Schizosaccharomyces pombe: one gene and its partner. The protein of the gene in region 1 purifies or fractionates together with the protein of each later gene. This does not show direct contact. Each region holds a gene or a part of one and is shown in the gene's direction. Other genes may lie near its edges.

Region 1 (3,927 bases):
AACCGGTAACGGGCTCCGATAGGGTAAATAAACAAAGCTCGCTACGAGTAAACAATTGGTTTGTTTGGAATTGGCATATGGGACCGATAATAGCGGCTGGAAAAGGAAACGGTAGAAAACGTGAAAAGTATATGAAAAGAGCAGGCTAGATGAGATAGCAAAAGGAATAATGGGTAAGATAGATGGAAGAATAGAGTTGAGCGGGGAGAAAGATTTGGGTGGTGGGTAAATGAGGAAAGAAAAAGGTCGAATTATTGGAATGCAAAGGCTGATTAAGCGTAAAAGTTTTAAATCCTTTTTCAATGGCGCAAAAACTAGCCTGGTATATACATGGATGCATATTACCAAGATCCTATAAAAGTCCATTTGAAATTTCGCTCTTTTTTGGCTGTCCCTTCTACTAGGGAAGCGGCCAAAATTCCTATGAATAGAATGGGGAAGATGGAAAGGCCTGGTTCCTTGATATAGCGTGGTTTAATAGAATATCCTAGTAGAACATTGGGTATTGCCACAGAACTCGCAATGCAGAGCGGTGGAAAAATAACCGTGTACGGGAATTGAAAAACCATTGATGGAAATGGATGCTACGGGGATTTTGGAATGCAAGCAATTATAGCGAAGAACCGGAATCACATTAAAAAATCTAAAAAATTCATCAATTCTCCTTAATTAGATACTATACATTCAATCTCTCCATGTATTCAAATCTCTTAAATTGAATTCGTCTATTTCGCCAATTGTCAATTACGTTTCCATACCGTACATTTGAAGTAACGTTAAAAATATTTTAAAAAAACAAATTCATTCGGTTGCATGTTCCGATTCTAGTAGAACGATATTATTTGAAAATGGTTTCTTTCTTCTAGTCTACGAATTACCGATTTTTTTTCTCGTCATGAAATCGCCCGCCATCGGGAACTTAACGAATCAATTGTACTATAGCGTCTCGGTTTAAAGACGGAAAGGAAATTTTAGTTGGTTTGCTATCGTAATTCCCTGCCAAAAGCAATGTAAAACGGGAATCCGAGATAACAGCAACCCTGGGAAAATCACTGTTTCCTATACCGGTTTCTACAACATTATTCTATAACATTATCCAGTGAAGTTAAGACTAGCGGTGGTAAGTTAAGTCTCCTCATTGTTTACACATCGCCTTTCGTCCTGAATGCTAGCGAATGTTTTCAAAGAAGTTGATTTATGGAAATCGCTAGACATTCAAACTGCGTAGTATAACAAGCAGCGTCGGTTGGACGATACATTGGCGGAAATTTCAAAATTAAAAGAATTTACTTCTCTTGCTCTACTACATTTCCTTTTTATCGCTTTATTTTTCTAATAAACCTCTATTAATGCTCTTTATGCATACCTTTCTTGTTAATTCTATACTACACTAATCTTATTCTATCCTAATTCTGGTTTCCCGCCAATTTCAATTTAATATGACTTTATGCAAGACAAAAGGCCGAGACTTTATCCATGCAATTGTTTAAAATAGATCAGACATACTTACATATAAACGCTTCCAAAACAAGCTTAGCGAACAATAACTTAGCTTGCACTGGTACATCGGAATATTCACGATTATTACTAAATTGCCACTCATCCCTGATTCCTGTATGTGCTAAAATTTCAAATTACTTTTTATCGCTACATTGTTATGTGCAGCCTCGGATGATACCGACTATAATTTGATACTAACTAGTTTGTAATGATGGCATTCAAAATGTTAGCAATTCATTCACCATACCTGTCTCTACTAGTGTATGTAATTGTGAGTCTAATAAGAAAAATATGAAAACCTTAATGAGCATGACACTTTGTTTTCTGTTCATCACACTCATCAATAATTCAATGGGAAAACGAAATGTGAACGGATTTTAAGTTGCTGGAATGGTAAAATGCGTTCATTCAATAATGTGGAATTAAAAAAAAAAGACAAGAAAATAAAAACTTACAAATTTAAAACATACTTCATAATCCAAACTATTCTATTTTTTTGTGATTTGAAAACGAAATCACAAATTTTCCTTATACGAATTTACAATCCTTGTAGAACACTATGTAAAGTTAACGTAGTTTACAAGAATAGTGTTTTTTTTTGGTAAAAATTATCACTGTTGCGATAAATTAAAAAAACGATGCGCAACATTACTTTAAAAATTTGATGCGATTCATGTAATACACTACACCACAAGTCGATACACTCCTTTCTCCATCTGCCCTTGGGGTTCCCTTAGTGTAGACAGTTGGCACTTCTACTTTGTATAGTATCGCTGGCTTAATTTAGGTATTATAAAAGATAAAACTTGCTTCACTCGTTAATACTAGAAGTTCGGCCTTTATTACCATTTTTTACAGCCCAAAACATTCTTGGTACCTCAGCCTCTGACCGAACGAGAAAGTTGTATTTAAGTTTATTTACCTTTTTCCTCTAAAACTGCAAAATCCACGTCTCTGATTGCTCATTTTTTTTTAATATCATGTCTAGTGGATTTCCTCCTGAAGTATTGTCTCCTCTTTTAAATTTAGTTCAAGGCCTTTCGTCGCCTGACAATACTGTCCGAAATGATGCTGAAAAGTCTCTTAGCTCAGACTGGATAAGTCAAAGAGCTGACTTATTATTAAACGGCCTTGCGATTTTAGCTTATCAAAGTGAGGACCCAGCTGTGCGCTCCTTTTGTTTAGTTCTTTGCCGTCGTATTTCCTTTCGCACCTTACCAGGAGACAGTGAGTTGGAAGTGTTCTCTAGCATTTCAAATGAGTCCAAACAGTCTTTGCAAAGTCAACTTCTAGCTTGCTTTGTTAAGGAGTCAGTTCCCACTGTTCGTAATAAGCTTTGTGACACAATCGCCGAGATTGCTCGATCTATCTATGATTGTCAAGGCGAATGGCCAGAACTCATTAACGTTATCTTCAATGCTGTTAACTCTCCTGATGAGTCTTTTCGTGAATCAGTTTTCCGTACCATCACTTCTTTACCTCGTTTATTGTCAGGTCAAGATAGTGCTGTTACTCCTCTCTTTACCACCGGTTTAGCTGATCCTAGTATCCGTGTAAGAATATCTGCCGCTCGTGCCTATTCTGCCGTTATTCTTGAGAGCAAACAATCCACTCGAGATCAGGTTATTCCTCTTTTACCTAGCCTCATGAACATCCTTCCCCCTCTGCAACAAGATCGTGATTCTGATAATTTGGCGGACTGTCTTATGGCCATCACTGAAATCGCCGAAGTTTTCCCAAAGTTATTCAAACCTATTTTTGAGAGCGTCATCGCATTTGGTCTTGGTATCATTAAGGACAAGGAGCTGGATAATTCCGCTCGCCAAGCTGCTCTTGAATTGCTTGTTTGTTTTTCGGAGGGTGCCCCTGCTATGTGTAGGAAATCTTCCGACTACACTGATCAACTTGTACTTCAATGTCTCTTGCTAATGACCGATGTCGCTGGCGATCCTGAGGATGAGGCAGAAGAACTTCAAGAATGGTTGAACACGGACGATTTGGATCAGGATGAAAGTGATGCTAACCATGTTGTCGCGGAACAAGCCATGGATAGACTTTCTAGAAAGTTGGGCGGAAAAACAATTCTTCCTCCCTCTTTCACGTGGCTTCCTAGATTGATCCCGTCTCAAAAATGGTCTGAACGTCATGCTGCCCTTATGGCCATCTCATCAATTGCCGAAGGTGCTGAAAAATTAATGAAAAAAGAGCTTAGTCGTGTATTAGATATGGTACTTCCTTTGTTAGCTGACCCTCACCCCCGTGTTCGATGGGCTGCATGCAATGCTGTAGGCCAAATGTCTACAGATTTTGCTCCTGACATGCAAGTCAAGTATCCTTCTCGCATCCTCGAGGCATTGGTACCTGTTTTGGAGTCTCCAGAATCCCGTGTTCAAGCTCATGCTGCTGCTGCAATGGTTAATTTCTCTG
Region 2 (3,927 bases), on another chromosome or scaffold:
AGTTAGAGATGAAAAAAGACACAAGTAAGCCTACTGCAAGCACTAAGGAAGTTGTAGTGGAAAAAAAACCCGACGAGTCACGAAAGCAAGCCGCTCGCACGCTTGAGACCGTATCAGAAGAACAAATGGGATCATCCAATGCTAAATCCAAGGTACTAACATCTGAGCCAAAGGACTCTACCTCTGTTGAAGCCGAAAAAACCGAAACTGATGAGCCTGCTGTTGGTAAAGGAGCATCCGATGTGTCTGATACAGCTGAAATTTCTGAGAAAACTGAAGCCAAGAATGCTGATTCGGAAGCCAATTTAGAAGAGAAATCTGACGTTGGGGAAGAAAAGGAGAGTAAGGACGAAAATAACAAAGCTAGTCTTCATAAGGATGTTGAGGAGAAAGATACAAAGATAACAAATGAAGACACTGGTAAAACGGAGACCGATGTCAAAGCCAAGGAGACTGATAGTATAGAGGCCAATGACAAGGATGAAAAGACCGATAGCAAAGAAACTGAGGACAAGGTCGAAGAAACTGAAAGTAAAGAGGCCGATGTCAAGGCTAAGGAGACTGATAGTATAGAGGTCGATGACAAGGAGGAAAAGACCGATAGCAAAGAAACTGCGGACAAAGTCGAACAGACTGACAGTAAGGACACTAACGAGAAGCCTGCGAAGGATGATAATAAAGAGGCAAATGAAAAGGCTGAAAAAGTTGACAGCAAAGATGTTAAGGAAAAGATCGAGGAGGCTGCTGATCTACAAAATTCGGGAAAAGAGACTTAAGGGAAAGAACAACAAGGCACATCATGATAGGTTCAAGAGTTGTAATCAGCTAATGGTACTATATATGCCTTGAGTATTCAGGGTACGAGTAGCTTGAAGATTTAAATTTTGCTATTTTCGGTGTTCCTCAGCTTTACAGTAAATGTTTTAGCGCTGTTTCGATTTTTCTTATAAGTAATGTTTTTTCGAGCTCTTTTGTTTCATATTTTTATAATTGAATTATTAATAATCAATTAAATTTTTCACGACAATCGCAATCCCGTTGATGAATTTGCAAAGTAACTTTAATTTAAGATTGTGCTTGAAGTTTTATCGAAACCATTTGGATAAACTGAGTAGCTAAGTATCCATACATTCACTCCATCCTTGCGTGCATAGCAACCTTTATTCTTTTTACCACTACTGTACATGAGACATATGATGCTTACAAAAAAATGATATTCATTGAGAAGGCACGAAACAACGTGAATTATTAAAACAACGTATTTTAACTACAACAATAACTGAATACAACATAAATCAAACTAAAAAATGATATAAAATATAAAAACTGTACGTAGCATTCGGTCATCACGAGCCATGGCACGAAGCAACGACTTCACGATGGTTTTAAGCTATGCTGTCGGTCTCCCCGACATAATCTATACCGATTCCATGAAGAGGAAAAAGCTGCAACCATTAATACGGTTCTATATTATAACCGCGTTAGAAGAGAGCAGACTTTTTGACATCAGTAATTCATTATTTTGTGAGATGAAGCTTTGTTTTAACTCACTCACATTTCTTATATACTAGGAGTCAAAAAACAGTCACATGTGTTAGTGCACTTTCGTTTCATCTCATTATATCAAAAATATAAACAAATGTTAAATAATCTTCAAAGGACGGTATGACATGAGAAAAGCAGTGAGTCAGAACATTAATTTAACTCCAAAAAAGTAACATGGATAAGCATTACTATGATAGTTGGTGTGCCGAATGATTGTAGTATTACATAGCCAGAGCCCAGAGTTTATTAGGTCGATCGGTTTTAATCAGATGATGTCCACCATACCCGCGTTTTTTAATTGGTTCTGTAACTGAAATGATGGGTATTGAGAATGTATGTCAACAGCGCCTCTAAGCCGACCTGTTCACTAATCCGTTTTTTCCCGAAAATTGAGTCTTTAAAGATATAACGAGGTGTTGCATACCGGGTTAACAGTACAATCATCGAACCACACGGCACTTAGATCAGATATAATTTAATCGTATCTCTTTATCAGATTAAAACAAACCACCAACGACAAACGTTTGAAAAAGTGAGATTTTTAAGCTTGGTCAGTAGAGGCATTGGAGTATTGGAAAATAAAGATTTATATATTTTGCTAAAAGTGTAGTTCTGTACTTGATATCTCCTATCCCCCCAACTTTTTTTTTGCTCATGGAATCGTCTAAAAGTCCATCGGAAGTGGAAAAATCATCTTCTGCTTCTCCAGCACCTCAAAAGCCGATGATTCGCGTCTCTAAACAATGGGTTGTTCCTCCTCGTCCCAAACCAGGAAGGAAACCTGCGTTAGATGCTCTGGGAAGAAGAAAGGCACCTATTAAACCAAGACCTGGGCCGACTTCAGCTTTGTCGGTCGAGGAAGCCAAATTCCGTGTTCGTGAAAAACAATATCAGGATACGATCGGAAAGTTACAGAAGGAGAACAACGAGCTGCTTGAGCAGTTGGAGATGCTGCAGGCTCAGTTGAAGAATTCTACTTTGGATAGCCCCAAGGAAGTCGAAGTAAACTCTGAAGTTGTCAAGCCAGATTCTGCGACTACTGAGAATGAAAACCGTTATGTAAATCAGTACAATTATCCGGTCGAGCCGCCCTGTGCTAAGAATGCCGTTTATACAGAGATTCCCATTGAGCTAGATCCTCATGCCTTCTTGGGTGATTCGGCCAAGAGAATTCGTGTGGATAGTGACAGTAAAGATGCAAAGTCCGTTCCATCCGAAAATGGAAGAATTCGTGTATCTATGTCTCCCCAAAACGAAATTAATTTTACACCTGAAAACCCAGCAGTAATGGAGAAGATACGTAAACGTGGTGTTTGCAATAGTGTAGAAGGATGTTTGTACTCTGGAAGCCCTAAATCTGTTAAACGTGTCCGTGAATCCGAGGAAACCAAGGTTTATGCTCAACTACTTATTGACTTACACAAGTCCTCGAAGTCTGCTCCGATGTTAAAGGCAGGTCCTTCAATCGCCTTCAAACTTCCTACCATGGAACCAAATTTTAACGATGTTCGTCCCGTCACTTCCATATCCTCTTCTTCCTAAGTTTCCCAAAAGTTTTTGTCATCTCTCATCTCCTCTTGTTATTGCATCTCAGCAGCGACTTTTCTGTTTGTAAGTGATCTCCATTACCTTTTTCCATGGTACGGAATTTTTATTTTCGGACTTAATTATCTTGCTTCATACTATTTTATTCGTTGTGCATTTTCGTTCTTTTTGGATTTCTTTCTGTTAATACTAACGTTCACTACTGGTATTTGAACCAATACATTCAGAAATATTACAACATTTTATTTTTCGTGTTCTTGGTATTTGTTTTAAGAGTGTGTTTTTTTTTTACTCACTAGACTGGCTGTACGTCGTAAAGTATGTTTCCTTGACATATTCTAGTCTAGATCGCTTTGTTCATTACATTGCTTCCTTTTCTGTTATATATGTTAATTTCACTATATGTTTTGTTTTTATATATTTTCTGATTTGTATAGAAAAGAATAAATCTTTGTTATATTTTTACTCAAAATGTTCATAGCAAACATTTGACTTTACAAACTGCTAAGCAGTGTTTTTAATAAATTTAATGCTAAAGCCTTCACTGTGTTTATTATGGCTTATGTTTGAAGCTTCGTATTTCCAAATTTAAAAAGTGAATAATCTAACAATGTTAATATGCTAGTCAATTTTTTTTAACAGTGTGGTGTACCACTAGAATTTCTTCGTTTTGCAATTGCCCTGGTTGAAAGAAAACTTGCTAGAGCACCGAAGTTCTTGTGTACGGTAATCTTTTGGTGAGACCAATCCACTTTCGCATTCAAGTAGAAAGAGTTGTAGTGTCCTAAGGATCTTATATGTCTTTCTTTCAGCGTCATAATCAACTCATGGTTTTTT

The links.
Region 2: the proteins of sal3 (region 1) and php4 purify together in Schizosaccharomyces pombe (affinity purification with western blotting, with the first as the bait; one study listed by BioGRID). This does not show direct contact.

The regions. Positions count from the first base shown.
Region 1 is NC_003421.2:2,257,802-2,261,728, forward strand, and holds the start of sal3 (karyopherin/importin beta family nuclear import signal receptor Sal3), read left to right. Parts: upstream 1-2,214; 5' UTR 2,215-2,480; coding exon 2,481-3,927. Other genes in the region: SPOM_SPCC1840.13 (uncharacterized protein), read right to left, coding at 1-366.
Region 2 is NC_003423.3:1,915,010-1,918,936, reverse strand, and holds php4 (CCAAT-binding factor complex repressor Php4), read left to right. Parts: upstream 1-2,044; 5' UTR 2,045-2,199; coding exon 2,200-3,087; 3' UTR 3,088-3,562; downstream 3,563-3,927. Other genes in the region: SPOM_SPBC16E9.02C (CUE domain protein ), read left to right, coding at 1-776. UniProt on the Schizosaccharomyces pombe protein: Component of the transcription regulatory CCAAT-binding complex. Required for the reprogramming of the cell for iron use. Down-regulates pcl1, sdh4, and isa1 underlow-iron conditions.